Saccharomyces cerevisiae S288C: one gene and its partners. Changing the gene in region 4 together with the main gene of any one other region gives a genetic interaction. Each region holds a gene or a part of one and is shown on either strand. Other genes may lie near its edges.

Evidence for each region.
Region 1: mutations in ISY1 (region 4) and GPI2 together harm fitness more than expected from each alone (negative genetic interaction), as found in Saccharomyces cerevisiae (2 studies listed by BioGRID).
Region 2: mutations in ISY1 (region 4) and ECM2 together harm fitness more than expected from each alone (negative genetic interaction), as found in Saccharomyces cerevisiae (3 studies listed by BioGRID).
Region 3: mutations in ISY1 (region 4) and PRP3 together harm fitness more than expected from each alone (negative genetic interaction), as found in Saccharomyces cerevisiae (2 studies listed by BioGRID).

The regions. Positions count from the first base shown.
Region 1 is NC_001148.4:408,809-411,785, forward strand, and holds GPI2 (phosphatidylinositol N-acetylglucosaminyltransferase), read left to right. Parts: upstream 1-1,634; coding exon 1,635-2,477; downstream 2,478-2,977. Other genes in the region: YPL077C (uncharacterized protein), read right to left, coding at 560-1,282. UniProt on the Saccharomyces cerevisiae protein: Part of the complex catalyzing the transfer of N-acetylglucosamine from UDP-N-acetylglucosamine to phosphatidylinositol, the first step of GPI biosynthesis.
Region 2 is NC_001134.8:366,805-373,272, reverse strand, and holds ECM2 (Pre-mRNA-splicing factor ECM2), read left to right. Parts: upstream 1-3,594; coding exon 3,595-4,689; downstream 4,690-6,468. Other genes in the region: TIP1 (putative lipase), read left to right, coding at 538-1,170; NRG2 (Nrg2p), read left to right, coding at 2,574-3,236; CNM1 (Cnm1p), read left to right, coding at 5,089-6,303. UniProt on the Saccharomyces cerevisiae protein: Involved in pre-mRNA splicing. Facilitates the cooperative formation of U2/U6 helix II in association with stem II in the spliceosome. Binds to RNA.
Region 3 is NC_001136.10:1,403,945-1,410,019, reverse strand, and holds PRP3 (U4/U6-U5 snRNP complex subunit PRP3), read left to right. Parts: upstream 1-4,165; coding exon 4,166-5,575; downstream 5,576-6,075. Other genes in the region: JIP4 (Jip4p), read left to right, coding at 1-2,556; TRAPP subunit TRS31, read right to left, coding at 5,847-6,075.
Region 4 is NC_001142.9:525,709-531,814, forward strand, and holds ISY1 (Isy1p), read left to right. Parts: upstream 1-2,988; coding exon 2,989-3,696; downstream 3,697-6,106. Other genes in the region: CYC1 (cytochrome c), read left to right, coding at 627-956; UTR1 (NADH/NAD(+) kinase), read right to left, coding at 1,176-2,768; OSM1 (fumarate reductase), read left to right, coding at 4,153-5,658. UniProt on the Saccharomyces cerevisiae protein: Involved in pre-mRNA splicing and cell cycle control.

The DNA of each region.
Region 1 (2,977 bases), on a different chromosome or scaffold from region 4:
CCTAGCACAGTATAAACTTGTCAACATAAACTGCTAACTGCAATTATAATCCCTTGCTATTTTAATTACCCAAACCTGTGGTGAAGGTCCGAATGAGCGGTGAAGAGAAAAAGCGTCGTGATTGGTTCAATATTGATGTCGATTACCCGGCCAATGAGGCTCGCTCGATGGGACACCTCTATGATAATAGTTGTCGCCACAGCCATTCTGAATTATATTTATCTTTTATCTACGTATGTGCCATTGTCACAGCACATTTCTAATTCTGTGTGAGGAACTAATTTAGCCATGGACAGTTTCTCATGCGTGGAAGACCTGTTATGCTGTATAGTACTGCGCCGCGTTAAAAAATATTCATGCTTGTAGAGTAGAATATTCCTATCTTTACCGGACCGTATTTCATCTGGGAGTTGCAGTTGCGTCACAACACAGTTTATGGCTATTTTATTTTGAAAATTAAGCATATATGACATAATTAGAGCACTCCTATGTGGGAATTCTTACACTTTTAATGTAGAATCTCTTGGTGATTGTTACTATCAGTTGTGTTTTGGCCCTACTATTGTAATTCCCTTATAGTGTTCACCAGCTCTTGAATGTACTTTCCTTCTTCAGGATCAACGGTTGGTCCATTTGGATTTCTAATTGCGCTGCTACTATGCATGTTGTTGCTTGTAGCTTCATCTCCGACGGATTTTCCTGTTGGTGATGGCGTTCTAGTCATCATGGCAGCAGCGGTTGCGACCGCCACTTCACGACGTTGTTCCTCTTCTATTTTAGCATTGCGGTCCCTCAAGACTTGAAGTAGTTTACTATGTGCTTGCCTTAATTGCATCAGTTTGTTCTCGAACCCTGGAGGAAACTGATCATACAATTCTGTTGCCTGCGCCTGTCTTTTAACGTCATCTAGGGCATCTATTTCTCTCCACAAATAGTCTTGTCTGTCGATTATAGGCCGTACTTCCAGTCTGTTATGTGTCTGTAGCGGTATATCTACGCTATTTCTCCGGAATTTGGCAACTCCGTTATAGCTAACACTATCGGTATCTATTGTGTCATTACCAACTGTGTTAGCACTTGAACGGTTATAATAGTTATTGAATAGACTCCTTGTCGAAGGAATTTGGGAAGAATAAGATGGCCTAAATCCTGAATTTCTAATATAGGGATTTACATTTGGTATTGTCCTGGGAAGGTCATGGATGCTGTCCTCCCCATACCGTTCATCGTCTTCATTCGTGATTTGCCTTCGTACTGAGCTTTTTTTCTGGAGATCTTTCATGAAGATAGTGAATTGTAAATTTTTGGTTAGGTTTTTCAAAAACAATGTCAATTACATGTCAGCGAAGGCCAGGTAGTAGGTGTCCGTGGCTATTGATTATCTTGATATCCGAACTTGAGACCACTTCGCGGCTACTAAATTTATGAACTAAAAATGAAAATTTCAACTTTCCATTACCTCTTCGCTTTAAACCAATTTAAAGGTACAATCACACTTTAAGTATTGTTGTTAGACGGTGGTGAATATAATCAGAGGCATCCAAACTTTCTGTTGCAGGTCCATTATCCTCTCAATTTTCGTATGACCTTAAAGAGACTTCATAGTTTATATTTGGTTATTTTCAATAGGTACAATGACAAGATCTCCCTGGAAGCGCCTACTATGGTTGAAACAGGAGTACCCAGATAATTATACAGATCCAAGTTTTATTGAGTTGAGAGCAAGACAAAAGGCTGAGAGTAACCAGAAGTCTGATAGAAAATTATCAGAAGCTGCTCGCGCTCAAATTAGGTTGGATTTTATAAGTTTCTACCAAACCATATTGAACACTTCTTTCATTTACATCACTTTTACATATATTTACTATTATGGCTTCGATCCTATTCCGCCAACTATTTTCCTTTCATTTATAACATTGATTATATCAAGGACGAAAGTCGACCCTCTATTGTCCTCATTCATGGACGTAAAGTCTTCGCTGATTATCACATTTGCAATGTTGACTCTCTCTCCAGTCCTCAAATCTCTTTCTAAAACAACTGCATCTGATTCCATATGGACATTGTCTTTTTGGCTGACCCTATGGTACATTTTCGTTATTTCGTCAACAAAGTCCAAAGATAAACCCTCTAACCTTTCCACCAATATACTTGTCGCCCTTGTTGCTGTCCTATCATCGAGGCTTTCGACCACAATCGACGTATTCTGTTTTCTTTTAATTTGTATTCAGTTGAATATCATTCTACCCACTTATTTATCGGTGACGAATAAGGTAGTACCAATAATTTCAAATATTATTGTATACTCATTTTTGAATGTTGCTCTAGGTTGGATTTATATGCTGTTGATTTTCTTTGCTTCAGTATTTTATATTACTGTTTTACCTAAGTGGTTCATCTACTGGAAAATCAATTATCATAAACGGGATAACGATCTACTAAGTACATGGGATGCAAGAACACCAATATTGGATTAGCGCAATCAAGAACATGATTTCCTTCGGATAAGCAAGGGAGGGGTACGACTTCTGCCCGCAGGGGCTTATTGCCTGTCCTCTTCCTCGACCCCACGGTATTTCATTATATATAGAGTCACTGTAATAATAATTATCATGAAACCTGACAAGCAAAGGCGTCGGGCAATTACCAAAGGGCAGTTCGGTCGATTAAGTTTGCTTCACTACAGATTATTCACATATCATACGACAACTTTAAAATTGAACATTCAGGAGATTTTTGAATGCATTGATGGGCCCTTGCACCTTAACCGGGTCCCAATATTAGAGAAACGCCCCCTTAAACTGAACACAAGACAATACTACCTGGCCAATAGGGTACAATTTGCGGCCGTGTTAAACAGGCGTTTCAGCGTCTACCGCTCCTAATTTAAAGTCACTTGTTTCTTGGTAGCAGCAGCTTCCTGTTTTCTTCTTTTTGGCACTTGGTTATGTGATAATATCACCCGGATGAGAAACCT
Region 2 (6,468 bases), on a different chromosome or scaffold from region 4:
AGCCCAACAAATTGGAGTAATGACCTTATTGGGTAATCAATATTCCCAAAAAGAGCATCAGACGATCTGGTTATGGTTTTTCTTGACTATAACCTTAATTATGAGACTAATGTCTTCGGGAGGTCCCTTTTCCGATTTTCCGACTCTTTTCCGTTGAAGAATGTACTTGTGGTTTTGAATCCTACGGCAGTTATTGCGGCGGTTTGGCCCTTTCTTTCAAAGATTGTGATGGAAATAATTGATTGTTCCGGGAAATGTGTCTTATTTTCTAAAAGCATCTTTTTTTCTCTCCAATTCTTCGAGCTATTTCCAGTAAAGGAAAAAAAAGGTTTGCTGTAAGGGTGAATATGTCTCCAACCTCTTTGAGGTACTGCGTTGCTTCATTCACCATTTAATATAAATAGTACATTGGCAGCCCTCTTTCAAACGTCAATTATTCTCGCTTGCCTAACTTTGTTCGGACCGAAATTATAAAGGCATTCAATCAGTAACAATAATTGCTATTGCATAACTATACCCTCTGCTAAATAAAATAAAATGTCCGTTTCCAAGATTGCTTTCGTTTTAAGTGCCATTGCCTCTTTGGCCGTCGCTGACACCAGCGCCGCCGAAACTGCTGAATTGCAAGCTATTATCGGTGACATCAACTCTCATCTTTCTGACTACTTGGGTCTAGAAACTGGCAACAGTGGATTCCAAATTCCATCTGATGTCTTGAGTGTGTATCAACAAGTCATGACTTACACCGATGACGCTTACACTACCTTGTTTAGTGAATTGGACTTTGATGCTATCACTAAGACAATTGTTAAATTGCCATGGTACACCACAAGATTGAGTTCTGAAATCGCTGCTGCTCTTGCCTCCGTTTCCCCAGCTTCTTCCGAGGCTGCATCTTCTTCCGAGGCTGCATCTTCTTCCAAGGCTGCATCTTCTTCCGAAGCTACATCCTCTGCCGCTCCATCCTCTTCTGCTGCCCCATCTTCTTCTGCTGCCCCATCATCATCTGCCGAATCATCTTCTAAGGCCGTTTCTTCTTCTGTCGCTCCAACTACCTCTTCTGTCAGCACTTCTACAGTCGAAACTGCTTCCAATGCCGGTCAAAGAGTCAATGCAGGCGCTGCCTCTTTCGGTGCTGTTGTTGCAGGTGCAGCTGCTTTATTGTTATAAAAGGGAACCTTTTACAACAAATATTTGAAAAATTACCTCCATTATTATACCTTCTCTTTATGTAATTGTTAGTTCGAAAATTTTTTCTTCATTAATATAATCAACTTCTAAAACTTTCTAAAAACGTTCTCTTTTTCGAGATTAGTGCTTCTTCCCAATCCGTAAGAAATGTTTCCTTTCTTGACAATTGGCACCAGCTGGCTACTCGTTGCTCGAAAACTACTCTCTTTTATTTTTAATTTACGAACGATTATCTTTCGAAGGAACGACCAAACGAGCTAAATATGGGCATCGCCAACGTTAAAAAAATGGACCCTACCGAAGACGTTATTATGCCAAGGCGCAGCGAAGAGTCTTTCTCCTTGAGAAAAAATATGCATGAAACAAAATAGACAGGACCAGACCCTCTTCGGGAAAAAAAGTCAAGATTTAACACGTGGCTACACCGGCTGGCTTACAACCAACCAACATAAGATCAAACAACCCTCAAGTTTAGAAAATGCCTTAATAGCAACCTCTAAAACCATAGACTTCTCCATTTTCACGTGCTAAAAAAGTTCGGGTATGATGTCATACAAATCCTTTCAACAAAAGATGCTTCAAGATCAATGGCACTCGAGATCATAAATCCCTGCAGAGCAGCGGCTCTGCATATAGAATAACAAACAAATCGTATTTTTCCCGAAGCCAAGAAAAAAAGGAGACTATAACCTTTCAAGCCAGACGGAAAACTATCTGCCCAAGGACAAACTGGCATGGGCTGCTTCAATGTTCGGCTACCTTTTTTCTCTTTTAACGGGGTTTGGTATTTTTTTTCTTTACTTCATAAACGAATGTTAAACGACTGTGAAAAAGCCATCCCTGGATTATGCGAGAGTACTCTCAGGGCACCCGTCCGTTTAAAGACCCCAGGCCAAAATAAAAATTTCTTGAAGGAAAAAAATACACAGGGCCTTGAACTGAATACAAAGCCATCTTTTTTCTCGTTTGTCAGCACGTCCCAGAAAAACGCGCAGCCGTAGCTCTTGATAAGTGGCTTCTGCGTTTTGCAACGCTTTTCTGATCTCATGTTTTCTTATGCTGCGGGACATCATTGTCGTTGAGAAAAGTTTCAATTTCAAACGAACTGCCTACCGTTGCATTCTCCTTGGAGAAGGGCCTGAGTTTAGGGGAATCACGTCTGGCTATTACATGCTACATCGTGCAGTAGCTCCTACATCGCTAACAGGCAAATCCTACACCCTCTTTAAATCGTTTATCTTTTATATATTATCTGGCCTAAATTTTTACATATAAATATTTATCATATTATGACAGCTCAAATGAATTTCCGGCACCAAGTCATATGAGCACTCGCTACTGTTCGAAGAACAAAAAATATAAAGCTTCTACAAAATTTCCAGATGTCCATAGGTTACAAAGACAACTTGATGTCAACTATTCTAGCTAAAGATAGGAAATGTGAATTTCCCATCAATTTCGAATGTTCGCCCTCCCAGATAACTCTTATGCCTGAAATGTTCTCTTTTAACAATGAAAGGAAATACCAAACCCTGATACCCTTGATGAAAACATCACATCTAATTGATGATGACTTGAAAGATAAATTGAATAAGTGCGCTTTCGATTTTTTCTCCGGAAAACAAGCGAACAGAACGAGTGACGGGACTATTTCAAGATTAACAGCAAGTGGAAAAACGTCACCGATACTGCCATTGCAAAATATTAATATTGTAAAAGCAGAGAATACCGGTAACGGTAAATCAGATCCATATAGCTCAATTAAAATAAGCAAACCGACAAAAACCGTGATAAAATTGAAATCTACGAAAACCAATACAGCAGGACAGAGGACTCGTCATTTCTGTAAGATCTGCTCTACTGGGTTCACCACTTCTGGTCATCTTTCAAGACATAACAGAATCCATACAGGTGAAAAAAATCATATCTGTCCGCATGAGGGCTGTGGACAGAGGTTTAGTAGACATGATAACTGTAATCAGCATTATCGAACTCATGCAAACAAGAAGAAAAGAAACTGGAAGAGGAGGGAGGCTAGCAGTTGATGTGAGTGAGCTCAGCCAAAAACATTTAAATATTCAAATAACGTACAAATAAAAGACTGATAAATAGTAATAAAACTAAGCGGGTTAGTAATACTCACCAAGAACAATAGCAGGAACGATAGTCGGTTCTCTTTCGTAATTTTTTTAAGTCACAACCCGGAGGGACGTGAAGTTTCAAACCTTATTCATTCCGGGATTACCCTCTCCTGTGATGACGTTTAGGCAATAAGGACTAAAAAAAAAAAAAAGAAATGCTATGGCAAATTTTATTGATAGAAGTGGTAATGATGATGGAAGGGCTTTTGAGCAGGTGAATAGAAGGTAGCTAACGGAAAAGAGTTATTGCACCCTTAATATAATGAATGATGAAATTAATGAGCCACCGCCCAATATATGTGAGCAGTGCTTAGGTGATGAGGCTAATATACGAATGACTAAAATTCCACAAGGCTCTGAATGTAAGATTTGTACCTTACCGTTCACCTTATACCATTTTAAGACGTCTAAACGAAGCAATAATATCATTAAAACATTAATATGTGTACGGTGCGCCACTCAGAGAAACATTTGTCAATGCTGTATGCTTGATTCAAGATGGCACATCCCTATACAACTGCGGGATCATTTAATATCCCTTGTGAACGAGGAAAACGTTATGACGGAGGAAGCAAAAAACGACATGATGAAAAGGTTTCTGTCACTAAAAAACGTGAAATTAGGAGGAGCTCAGATTACGAGTGATCCGTCAGAAGCAGATAATATCGTTGATAAATTGAAAAATATACTTCTGCGAGCAACATCAGATGGCCCAAGTACTCCGTTAATAAAAAACACAACTGCATTGTATAAAAATGAAAAAGGTGCAAATGAGGTCAAAAACTTGGAAAAGTACGCGTCCGTGGACATTTCTCATATTTTGAAGAAACTACCCTTGAATGAATCGTTTTTAAAAAACCCCTCCACCAAATCATTTTTTCTGTATAATATTGATGCCTCGATCCCTGAATGGAAAATAACTGATACAGTTTCGCAATTATTGGGTATAAAGAAATGGAAGGATGGAAATTCATTGTCATTAATAGTCAACCACAAGGCGAAGTGTGGTGGCCTAAGATTTCAATCTAGTGAATTGGGGGAGCGGTTTGTCAGTAAAATAAGTGAGACACTTGTCACACCAAAGGGCCTAAAGAGAGGAGTTTTACTTATTGACCGTTTTAGAATCTTTATCATTCCGTGGTCGTCTGGCTTTTCAGCTGCGTCATTCGGAACCAACACTGCAGAAAATATAAAACTTAGTTTAAGTTTGAATAAGCTTATTCAGTTGGAGCTAGGGCTTTCTTTTCCTACAAAAAGCACAGATAACGCAAAGAATGACAAGAAAAAGACATCAAAAAAAGTTCATAAGGACAGATCAAAGAAATCGAAACCTCGCGCTAACAAGTTAACAATATAGATGAAACGTAAGAAAAATCATGGGTTGAAGAAACGAACTGTTTGATCAATTTCGACCATCCATCTACCTTGCAAGTAATAAACAAAAGCAGGTTGAGTGGGGAACTTTATCTAAGTTGATCAGTATATCTGACAAATTTATACGGAATGCTGCAGTTTGGATTAGCACGAACATTTTATCTGTACGGTTTGTCGCTTTTAGCTGCTCGGGCTCTTCCTCTCGGTTACCGAGATGATAACTCGGCCGAATTTTGTAAGTACAAATAAAAAGAAAGTGACACAATTCTAAAAGTATCACTATAATTTATTATTTTGAGAAAGATAAGGTTCCATAGGTACATGATATATTGACTGATTTCTGATAGCTCTTTTTTTTCCAATATCGATAAAAAACTAAAATATGGAGGAACTAGGTTTAAAAAGCACTTTTCCATATGAATATGGCTCAGACTTTACAATGATAAGAACGGAAATGTTAAATACTACGAAGAGCGAAACAACTATTTTATTTTCCAATATAAAGAGCATTTTGGCCATTATTTGGAAATACTCATTTACATTTTTAAGATCTTTTTCCGATTCCATCAAACTTATTATTGACGATGTTGTCACTATTGGCTCCCGAAATTTTGCAGAGAGATTACAGATTGAAGCGAAAAAAAACAATGACCAAGAAGATATCTGGGCATCCACAATAATTTTGGGTGTGATTATCGGGTATTTAATCTCTTCTATTAAGAGAAAGAACACTTTTCCAATAATGCCTACGAGCTCACCTAAAATAGATGATTGTAGGTTCAAGACTGGTGATACCATATCCATTGTAATAAACTTTAATGAAGACTGCCTCAATAATCGAAGTGACGTTACCGAAGAGAGAAATTATGAGGAATCCACAGTTTTACATTCAAAGGAGTCAGTTCTCAGCATTGGTAGGCAAAATATGGTAACTTTGAACCAAAGCGATGAAAATTTCACCTATGGCAATTTTGATGAGTACGACTTATTAACTAAAGATTATACAACAGAGGTCTTAACGCGATCACCTGGCTCGAATCCCGAGTTTAAAGCAGTGGTAAATAATACATTACTTGATAGCGCGAATGAAACGCCGTTTAAAGGTATTGAAAAAAGTATTAACGAAACAATGGTTAAAGTTCCTATGGGATGCGATGTATCTCTCTCCCATTATGGCAGACAATACGCGCCTGGAAATATTTCAATTATGAGAAGCTTCACTGCTCGAGATAATACTAAATCTGTGAGTAGAGAAATTCGTGATATCTGTAAATCGTTTTTGATTATAAAAAGCCAATTTGGTGACGAACTTTTCCTGACTATGTTCATGGAAAAACCAGTTTTCTTTGATAACAACATCCCAATTGAAATAACTGGAGCATACCGAGAAAAACGAGAGCGATTAGATGAAGTGATTCATAAGGATCTTATCCGCTATGATGAAGTTCAAAATTTGACAAGGATTCGCAATTTGCTCCGGGTTAAAAGTCAAAAGATTTGTTCCAGGAGACATAATAGTTCGGTTCCCACAAAAAAATTGTTAGTTAATGATAAAGGCGCAACTTCGATTCTACTGTGGTACTCTAACTATTCATAGATAAAGTTTATTTGATACATAATCCGGAAAATGTAAGATATGCCAACTGTTAACTAGAAAACATCTGTACTCTATATATCGGAAACAAAAACTTTACGGGTACAACCATGATGAATAAGCTCGAAATTTTTGCCTTCCATATGAGTCCCATTTTGGTGACCAACT
Region 3 (6,075 bases), on a different chromosome or scaffold from region 4:
CTGGAGGATACGGTGGACATACTCGCTAAGCAGGACGAGGACAAGTCCAACAATGATGACAGGCGCAGTCTAGCCTCGATATTGGACTCGAGCAGTTCCGTCAAAAAGAAGGGGAAAGGCAGCAACGAAAAGTACCTACCATGCGTATCTTTCAACACAGTTCCCAGATCAAGGGTATCTTCGCCCTTAGATGAAGAGAAAAGAGAATTTCCTGGCGTGCAGATCTCTGCAGATTATACAATGGAGGAATATTATGACGACGAAAGTGGCTTTACCTCGGACAACAATGCCGACTACTTCTCCGGGAATAGCTATTCGAGTAGGCGAGAGGGCAGTGCTAGTCCCGGCAGGTATTCTTCTCCACCTCCTGCCTCTAAAAGAAACATCAAAATAGGTAAGATGTTTAAGATTTCTGAAAATGGTAAAATTGTAAGGGAAGACTATCCTACTACACCCACCGATATCAATGACGCTCTTGTGATTAGTAGGGCGTATGCCAATTGGAGACAACTATGGATCAAGAAGAAAAATCAGATAGATCATCGATTAGAACAAAAGCGCGATTTCTTCAATTACCCAACAATACTGTTTCCTCCAAACAAAAAAAAGTCGTCTGAGGGCGCTACTCCCACAATAAAATTCAATCCTCCCATAGAAGACGGCTTTACGCCTTTGACTAAGTCTCAAAAGCGGAAAGAGCGTGTTTTGAGCGAAAAGGTTGGGTTCCCGAACACTCCTCGAACGATATTGTGCCACATCAGCGGCAGGAAACATACTTGGGTAGCACTAGATTGGGCGCTACGAACTTTGATTCAAAATACAGACCACATTGTTGTGTTGGCAAACCTGCCCCGCCTGACTAAGAATAATTTCGAAGACAATGATTCGATGAGTGAGCGAAAAAGAATGCTAATGATGATGGATGATAGCAGGAGTGTTAGCTCAGCAAGAAGATCACGATCCAGATCGAGATCACGATCCATATGTACAAGAAGGGCACTTTCTCTGGGGCCTGAGGAATCTGACAACAAATTAAAGCACCAAAATTTTATCGAGTGGACATCTGGTTATACGCAGAACGAAATAGAACGTAAATTGCAAGATCTTTTTGATTATGTTACACTCATAATTCCGCAAGATCGTTCTGTCAAGGTCACTGTCGAGATCCTAATTGGCAAGACTAAAAAAACGCTTCTTGAGGCAATAAACATCTATTTACCTGATTTCTTTGTATCTAGCACTTTGAGGTGGGAGAGAACAGACAGCTTAGTTCGTTGGAAATCGAACTTTCTGACAGATAAACTGTGTACTAATTTTCCGATTCCAACGTTTATTGTACCGGCAAAGAGAATGTTCGATTTGGAAATAGATTTGCAAAAAGAGTTTAAAGAACCGGAGGTAACGAAACAAAAAAATACTAGCGGTCCAAAGCCTGGGTTCAGCCATTCTAAATCAGCAGATGCTAGCATTCCAACTATCTCAAATATCAAACGGAAGCAAGATAACGATTATTCTATAGATTCACTATGTTATGCCCCAGAAGCTAATGGTGCTAACAATAGTAGCCGAGAGGAAGCATCTGATGATGAGCTTAACGCTTTTAAGGATGATGAGAATGATGTGATGTCCGTGAAATCCTTAACCTCTAACATTTCGGTAAAGGAAAAGTTATGTACCATGGCAAGGAAACGTAGAAAGAGTATGGCTCAGCAGTTAAATGACGCCGATCATGATTCATCAATACCACCGGGACAGAGGCATTTGAAAAAACTGAATATTATTTTGGAATCTTCATTAAAGTTTTCATTAGAAATCGATAGCATCACTGATAGTATTGAAAATGGGGATGTAGACGAAAAGAGAGCACACTCTATGGAGTCGGGCTTTGAAGAACTGAAAAGAGTCATCACAGGTGGTGCTCCTCCAAGGCATGTGGCTACCCCGCAGAGGTCCATGCTTGATGTTTTGGACAATCCAAGTTCATCTAGATCCAAATCCAAGTCAAGATCAAGCTCTAAGTCAAGGATAAGAGACAAATCAAAACCAAGCTCTCCTACTGCTACCGATATAAACTCAAGTGCGAGTGCGTCGAGATCACGTTCTCCGCAAATCAAGTTCGCGTCGAGTGTCAAGAATGTAGATGGTAATGCTGCACTGGGTGCTATTAAATCTAGGCACTCGCTAGACAGCCCAGGGGACCAGCAACAACAACATCATCATCACCATCATCGTGACACAGATCAGTTGTCCGTTCCAGGCCTTCCCCATTTGGCACCTTCAAAGTCATATAGTGTGAGTTCTGGTAATAAGGATTCATCTTTGAGGAAAGTCAGTAGCTCATCTTCGCTCAGAAAAGTAAAATCTAATGATTCGAACTCTGGTAAACGTATTAAAAAACCGGTCGTAACTTCAGCACACTTGAAACCAAGCTCAGGCGGTGGTGGTTTATTCTCTTTTTTTAAGAGTAAATCGAGATCCCCGTCATCTTTCAGAAAGGAAGATGAGAGTAAAAATACGCCTAAGCGTGGCGGATTGTTTGGGTTCGGAAGGCTGTAGTTGGTCTTACGTTCTTATGTGTTTATTCGATATAATTCTATAACATTTTTATGACTTTGTGCCTTTATGCATAACATGTATTGTACATATTAATCGACAAAAATGACATTCAATACCCTACACTAGTAATTAATAATGCTGCAATTCCATCATCGCATTCTCACCTAAAAGAAATGTGGACAGTGTTCATTATAAGCTGGGTTCCTATTCGTATTTCCGGCAATAATGCGTGCTAAGTGAGTTTGTAAAATCGTTAAAATGAGAATCAATGTACAAGGTTAGTATCACGTCAATTCTTTCAAAGCTTTATATTATTAGGTATACCTCCTTTGAAAGTAGCACCAGTCAAGATAATGGATCTTTATCCATAGTTATTGCAATTACTTTCAAAGCAATGCGGTTGTTATTGTTGCAAAAATATTGCAATATTAACTTCTTAGGAATGGTGAATTGAATTGTGTCGTAACATACGCTGTAACCCTTGTCTTTTGGGTTTAGAATGCGGAAATGAAAAACGTATAGAACATGATGAATCTACGAAGTGCAAGGTCCACGAAACAAGACAGTATCGTTGCAATTCAGTGAAATCCTTAAAATGGTTCAAATATAGATACTGGCTATCTTTTTCATTATATTGGCTTCTTTGACCTGTCACAATTATAGGGTTCAACAGTTATCTTTGGAGGAAGAAGCTGCTCATTGATGAGAAACAGGATTTATGGAAGAGAAGTCACATTCGTGAAAGGCACATTCATCAAGAAATTTTATTTTTTCTTTTGTGCTTCCCAAATTTACTGCCATACTACTCCATTTTTTGACAGCTTATTCATTTAAGAATACGACCTAACAATAGTATTCCGGAACTTTTTAACAATATCAATGACGACTAAGAGAAAATGACAACTGCAGGGAACAGATTTTAGATTTGAAAAAGCCATGACATGATACTACTATGTTCTAGATGTGTTTTATCTCCTTTTCGGTAGCATTTTTTTGGTAATTATCTAGTACGAGAGGTGACAAAATCTGTTGTTCTCCTTTAGGTTGTCGTAGTCAACTTTTTTTGTAGGAAAATTCTTGCAAGTACCCTGAAGTTATGTATGATGCAAGTCTATTGATTGTAATCAATAAGTTTTTCTAGCTCTGGCTTGCTATGTAACGTAGTGAACAATCAATGTTATCGAAAAAGTTTAGGTAAAATTCTCGAAAATGAATGCTGATAATTACTTTTTCTTCACTCCCCAATTTTGGATAATACTTGGCAGCTATATTCGCGAAACAGGAAGGTTAAAAACTGCTTCTCCAATGAAACAGTAGTTAACATATCCATTTAGCTAGAGATACTGCTTTTGGCCTCTGGACAGGCACTGTGAATTGTTCTTATATGTTCTAAAGTAAAGAGCCATGACTCAAAGAAAGTTTCTTGACTATGTTAATTTTTTTAGCATACAAATTTTAATATTATTCACATCTGCGTTTTTCTGACTGGATCCCGCACTGATCAATAACAAGAAATAGTCCTAGTAAAGTATTAGAATGCCAGATGACGTAAAACAATCAAAAAGACTCACAGAAAACATCAGGCGATCTATTGAATTGGCTTGAAAAAATGCCCCCAAGAAATACCTATGAAAAAGGTAATCCGAAACGCCAAAATAGTCCATATTATAAGCCAAGTTTCTTACGGCGTGAAGAAACTACCAATGATGAGGAGAAGTTTCAGGGCCATGGTCTGAAAACCGAACTTCACTCAGCGTTAAAGTCTTCAAATTTGAATCTTATCCGAAGAACTTATCAAACTGGTGAAAATCCCTATCTTAGTGATCCACACGATCGAGGCTCATCGAGCAGATTTAACAGGCGTTATGAACGGGGTCTGAAGTTTTACCAAAAGGGAGAAATCAGTAAAAGAATTGCCCAAGAAAGAACATTACAAAAACAGCAGGAGGAGGAAGAATTAAAAAGAAAGTTAAAACAAGAAGAAGACGAGAAAGATAAAAGAAAATTAATTGAGTCAGGTGATTTACCCAATTTAGAGTTACATGAGGATAAGTTCCTATTAGATTTGTCAAAGTTCAAGATATACTATGATAATAATCATGGCTATGAATGGTGGGACACGGCTTATTTAGATGAAAAGGGTGAGTTGATGGAAAAATATGACATGAATGGCACATCGCCTGCCGAAGAAAAGCTAGCAGAAGATATTGATGAAGTAGACGATGATGATGATGATGAGCACCCATCTATAAGATATGTAGCACATCCCTTACCTGAAAAGATCAACGAGGCAAAAGTATCAATCAAAGCATATCTAACGCAACATGAAAGGAAAAGATTAAGGAGAAATAGAAGGAAAATGGCAAGAGAAGCACGGGAGATAAAAATTAAGTTAGGACTATTACCTAAGCCTGAACCGAAAGTTAAACTAAGCAACATGATGAGTGTTTTCGAGAATGATCAAAACATAACGGACCCAACTGCCTGGGAAAAAGTAGTGAAAGACCAAGTGGACCTCAGGAAGAGAAAACATCTGGAAGAAAACGAAAGAAGACATGAAGATGCTATTAAAAGAAGGAAAGAAGCAGTCAATATGAACGTTGAAAAGCCGACAGTATACCATTGTAAGGTGTTCCAGTTCAAAAACTTACAGAACCCAAAAATAAGATTCAAGTTGAAAATGAATAGTAAAGAACTATCACTAAAGGGTTTATGCCTCCGTATACGTGATGACGGACCAGGAATAATTATAGTCGTGGGTAACGAAAAATCATGCAAATTTTATGAGAATTTGGTGATGAAGAGGATAAAATGGAATGAAGATTTTGAGTTGCACACAAACACTGGGGATATAAAAATGGACATGCATAATAATTCAATATCAAAAACTTGGGAAGGCTATTTACAAGATTGTAAATTCAAAGGCTGGTTTATGAAAGTATGCAATGATCAGGATTCTTTATTACGTACGCTGGGTCAGTTTGATTCAGAGCATTTTTATTCACCTGTTCAAACGTGATATCGGTGTCTACAAAATGATACGCTTTGTTTCATATTAAATATTATTTTACTGTATGTCGCCCAGAATAATGATTTTTTTAGCACAAAAACATTCCAAAATATAAAAAGAAAATGATTTTATATGATAGATGTACTTCAAGGAAATCGACAATTAAAAGAATCATTCTTCGTAATGAATATATGAGCATATGTCTATAAATCAACAGTAAATATACAAACTCTTTATCCTTTTCTTGGTTTTAGGTATTTACCGATGTTTTGAGATGATATCAGCCAAATCTCAAACCTTCCCTGTCAAGCACTTGCCTGTCAAATTGGATCAAATAAACGGTTCGTTGACTATGTCCGCCTTGGGGCATTCGATGTGCTGTCACGCCACATGGAAATCCAGCATTGAAAAGGAATCCTTTGATAATGCCGCAAACGAAGTACTCACAAGAAACGTTCTCACCTGGGATAAATTGGGTTAAAGTGGGGAAGTTATCTACTATCATATAT
Region 4 (6,106 bases):
AAAAAAAAAAACACAGAAAAGAATGCAGAAAGATGTCAACTGAAAAAAAAAAAGGTGAACACAGGAAAAAAAATAAAAAAAAAAAAAAAAAAAGGAGGACGAAACAAAAAAGTGAAAAAAAATGAAAATTTTTTTGGAAAACCAAGAAATGAATTATATTTCCGTGTGAGACGACATCGTCGAATATGATTCAGGGTAACAGTATTGATGTAATCAATTTCCTACCTGAATCTAAAATTCCCGGGAGCAAGATCAAGATGTTTTCACCGATCTTTCCGGTCTCTTTGGCCGGGGTTTACGGACGATGGCAGAAGACCAAAGCGCCAGTTCATTTGGCGAGCGTTGGTTGGTGGATCAAGCCCACGCGTAGGCAATCCTCGAGCAGATCCGCCAGGCGTGTATATATAGCGTGGATGGCCAGGCAACTTTAGTGCTGACACATACAGGCATATATATATGTGTGCGACGACACATGATCATATGGCATGCATGTGCTCTGTATGTATATAAAACTCTTGTTTTCTTCTTTTCTCTAAATATTCTTTCCTTATACATTAGGACCTTTGCAGCATAAATTACTATACTTCTATAGACACACAAACACAAATACACACACTAAATTAATAATGACTGAATTCAAGGCCGGTTCTGCTAAGAAAGGTGCTACACTTTTCAAGACTAGATGTCTACAATGCCACACCGTGGAAAAGGGTGGCCCACATAAGGTTGGTCCAAACTTGCATGGTATCTTTGGCAGACACTCTGGTCAAGCTGAAGGGTATTCGTACACAGATGCCAATATCAAGAAAAACGTGTTGTGGGACGAAAATAACATGTCAGAGTACTTGACTAACCCAAAGAAATATATTCCTGGTACCAAGATGGCCTTTGGTGGGTTGAAGAAGGAAAAAGACAGAAACGACTTAATTACCTACTTGAAAAAAGCCTGTGAGTAAACAGGCCCCTTTTCCTTTGTCGATATCATGTAATTAGTTATGTCACGCTTACATTCACGCCCTCCTCCCACATCCGCTCTAACCGAAAAGGAAGGAGTTAGACAACCTGAAGTCTAGGTCCCTATTTATTTTTTTTAATAGTTATGTTAGTATTAAGAACGTTATTTATATTTCAAATTTTTCTTTTTTTTCTGTACAAACGCGTGTACGCATGTAACATTATACTGAAAACCTTGCTTGAGAAGGTTTTGGGACGCTCGAAGGCTTTAATTTGCAAGCTTCGCAGTTTACACTCTCATCGTCGCTCTCATCATCGCTTCCGTTGTTGTTTTCCTTAGTAGCGTCTGCTTCCAGAGAGTATTTATCTCTTATTACCTCTAAAGGTTCTGCTTGATTTCTGACTTTGTTCGCCTCATGTGCATATTTTTCTTGGTTCTTTTGGGACAAAATATGCGTAAAGGACTTTTGTTGTTCCCTCACATTCCAGTTTAGTTGTCGACTGATACTGTTAATAAACTCATCGGGCGAGGCTTCCACGGTTGGAAAAGCATATGGGCTGGCGCATATGGTTATAAAATCACCTTTTTGCAATTCAATTCTATCTTTCCCATCAAAAGCCGCCCATGCTGGAGCCCTTGACTTCATCGAGACTTTCACTTTTAAATTTATACTTTCTGGTAAGATGATGGGTCTGAAACTCAATGCATGTGGACAAATGGGTGTTAAAGCGATTGCATTGACGGTTGGGCATACCAATGACCCACCTGCACTCAAAGAATAGGCCGTGGACCCAGTCGGAGTAGCAGCAATCAGTCCGTCCGCCTGCGCAACGGTCATTAATGAGCCGTCACCATACAATTCTAACATGGATAGAAAAGGACTTGGACCACGATCGATGGTCACTTCGTTCAAAATGTGGTGTGTGCTTAGTTTTTCCACCACACATATTTTCTTCCCCGTGTTTGGGTCTACTTCAGGGCGGTGTCTACGATAAATTGTGCACTCCAACCTCAACCGTAAATTTGTCTTGATTTTATGATTCATAATCCGAGGTAAATCCTCCCTGAAATGTTCAAACTTAAAATTTGTTAAAAATCCTAGAGACCCTAATGAAAACGACATAACGGGTGGTACATGTCTCTGAAAAATGGAACTTACAAAAAGAACAGTACCGTCGCCACCCAAAGTCACTACCAAATCGAAGAAAACATCATGTTCCCTGATGAAATCCTTTGTCCAATACTTGATCCTTGATTCTCTACATTTACTATCTTCACATAACTCGCCAGCGGCAAATTTTTTGCTGTTTTTCAATTCGGAATCCACATAAACAGTCACACGTGGAAAATGTACCAAAACCCATTCTACCAACTCTCTTGTTAAGAAATACAGTGAGACATCGTTGAGTTTCGTAACAATCATCAAATTTTCCACATCCAGTTCCACTTTGGTATTAGATATATCTTTACTCAACATTCTTACACCATACGCCGTGGAGGCATACTGAAAGTGTGTATTACTACTCTTAGAACTTCCTCTTGTTCCGTTAATGCTCGTACCACCGCCACTGTTTGCATTGCCGTTCACGAGAGATGAATCTTTATTCAACAGGGAGCTTCTGCGCGAGCTGCTTTCACTTGATATTTTCCTCAACATTTCTTTGGCGTTGTCGATATCCTGAGTTCTATCAATTTGCTCATTGTTCATCATGGCCTTCTTCATCAAGTTATTATTGTTGTTATGATGATCATTTCGACCATCTTCCTCATTTACCCATTTATCTACGCCATTATTCATGTCATTCTCCTTCATCTCAAGAGCTTTTACTCTACTTATTTAGGGAGCCTATTGTATTTTTTTTTGGCTTACGATCACGATGTCAATGATCATTTGCCCTATTATACCTTTTTCTCCGTTCTCTTTGCGTAGTGCGGTGAAATAATTTCAGGATGCATGAAAGAGCAAATAAAAGTGACACACCGTTATATCGCAAGGCGCACCACATCAGTAATCAGATACCTGTGCATTCAAAATGAGTAGAAATGTAGATAAGGCCAACTCAGTTCTGGTACGATTTCAAGAGCAGCAAGCAGAGTCGGCAGGTGGATACAAGGATTATTCACGTTACCAGAGGCCCAGGAACGTGTCTAAGGTAAAATCCATAAAAGAGGCCAACGAATGGAAGCGACAAGTAAGTAAAGAGATAAAACAAAAAAGCACAAGAATATATGATCCGTCTTTAAATGAAATGCAGATTGCGGAACTTAACGACGAACTTAATAATCTTTTCAAAGAATGGAAGAGATGGCAGTGGCACATTGACCATACACTTATGGAAAAAAAAACCAAGAGGAAAAGGTTAGAAGACAGTCATGTGCTGATGAATTCAGGAAAGCTGATAAATGGTAAGAGATATTTTGGAAGAGCCCTGGAATTGCCTGAAGTAAAAGAATGGCTCAAGCAGTCTCAAAGGCAGAATGATGGGGGTTCTATAAACACCAAATGCATACCGAAGGATAGAAATGATTTTTATTACCATGGCAAAGTCACAGCCGCCTTAACCGAATTTGAGGCTAACTGGACATCCATTTTGAAAGCACATTATAATGTGCCTGTGAATGAAGATGAAGAAGAAATGTCAAGGCAGACACAAGAAATCCATGTACCAACTCTGGCAGATATGGAGCATTGGTTAGTGCAAAGAAGAAAAAAGAAACTAATGGATGAACTTAACCTTTAGCTATGGAAAATTATTCAAACATTTAGAAGAGGCACTATTTCGAATGACCATCACAAGCATTATAATCTTCAAACATGTCCGAGCTGCAGATATGAAGTAAAATAGTGATCGGGACTCATTTTTTTTTCTTCTATGATATCATATTGTCCCGTTCGTTATTAAATGTAATTCTTCCACCGTACTAGTTATCGAAGGCAAGATCTCCTTTTTACGCTTAGGTAGATTACATAGATTTCATAATGTACACCAATACAAATGTATCTTATACACTCGTCAAATCTTATATGAATCATGCAGGAGTAGCTCTCGTTTTCTTTTTACGAGCTACTTGAAAAAAAAAAACTAGCGAAAATCCTTTGCTTAGAAATCCAGATTTAAAACAAAACCGCCGAAAAGGGAAAGATTTTATGATAGGAAATACCTTAATAATTCTATATCATCCCGAGTCTTAGGAAAATGATTAGATCTGTGAGAAGGGTTTTCATTTACGTCTCAATATTCGTATTGATAATAGTTTTGAAAAGAACATTAAGTGGCACAGATCAAACGTCAATGAAACAACCAGTGGTGGTCATTGGCTCTGGTTTGGCAGGCTTAACCACAAGTAATCGTCTCATTAGTAAATACAGAATTCCTGTTGTGCTTTTGGATAAGGCGGCTTCTATTGGTGGGAATTCTATAAAGGCTTCTAGTGGTATTAATGGTGCTCACACAGACACTCAACAAAATTTAAAGGTAATGGACACTCCCGAATTGTTTTTGAAAGATACTTTGCATTCGGCTAAAGGCAGAGGGGTTCCATCACTGATGGATAAGTTGACTAAGGAATCCAAGAGTGCTATCAGGTGGTTGCAAACAGAATTCGATTTGAAATTAGACCTCCTTGCGCAATTGGGCGGTCACTCTGTTCCAAGGACCCATAGATCTTCTGGCAAATTACCACCAGGTTTTGAAATCGTGCAAGCGTTATCAAAAAAACTAAAGGATATCTCTTCCAAAGATTCCAATCTCGTGCAGATTATGCTAAACAGTGAAGTAGTGGATATCGAGCTTGATAATCAAGGTCATGTTACTGGTGTAGTATATATGGACGAGAACGGAAACCGTAAAATCATGAAGTCACACCATGTCGTGTTTTGCTCAGGTGGATTTGGTTACTCTAAGGAAATGTTGAAAGAGTACTCACCAAATTTGATTCACTTGCCAACTACTAATGGCAAACAGACTACAGGTGATGGTCAAAAAATCCTTTCAAAGTTGGGTGCCGAATTGATTGATATGGATCAAGTGCAGGTACACCCTACCGGCTTCATTGATCCAAATGACCGTGAAAATAACTGGAAGTTTTTGGCTGCAGAGGCATTGAGGGGTTTAGGCGGCATCTTATTGCATCCCACCACTGGAAGAAGGTTTACAAATGAATTGAGCACCAGAGATACAGTAACCATGGAAATACAGTCTAAATGTCCGAAAAATGATAATAGAGCACTTTTGGTAATGAGCGACAAAGTCTACGAGAACTATACGAATAACATAAACTTTTATATGTCCAAAAACTTAATCAAAAAAGTGTCAATCAACGATCTGATCCGACAATATGACCTACAAACTACAGCTTCTGAACTGGTAACTGAACTGAAGAGCTATTCCGATGTTAATACTAAGGATACGTTTGATAGGCCATTGATTATCAATGCCTTTGATAAAGATATTTCGACTGAATCAACTGTTTATGTTGGGGAAGTTACACCAGTTGTTCATTTCACAATGGGTGGTGTGAAAATTAATGAGAAATCTCAGGTAATTAAGAAAAATTCGGAAAGCGTTCTATCTAATGGGATATTTGCTGCTGGTGAAGTTTCGGGTGGTGTTCATGGAGCCAACAGATTGGGTGGATCTAGTTTGTTAGAGTGTGTTGTCTTTGGAAAGACAGCTGCGGATAACATAGCAAAATTGTACTGAGAATTTATAGGGAAATAAAAGATATTTTTGCAACGTACTTTACATTTCAATAATTAATGCGACATGATAGGATATACTGTTTGCTATTTCTTTCCGTAACGATATACGATTTTTTCTTTTCTTTGGAGTTCCAAATGAAGAATATATCTTGTTGGGAAAAGCTATAGTATTAGGTTTACAGAATATGGTAGAGGTTTCTCCCCGACGATATAGGAATCTACAAGAGAGAGCATGATTCTACACGATAATACTGCAATTTCTTCTTTGCGTTGAAGTGTCACCATTGCCTATCCTTTTACATTATCAATGTCAATGTTCCCTCTTCTAACAAACTGAATGACTTTTCTACACGATTCATATTATCTTCTTGCGCAGTAAATTATGTTAACGTAATAGTAGGGTCTCTTGTGCTTCATTATTTTGTAACTGTACACATAATTGACACGTT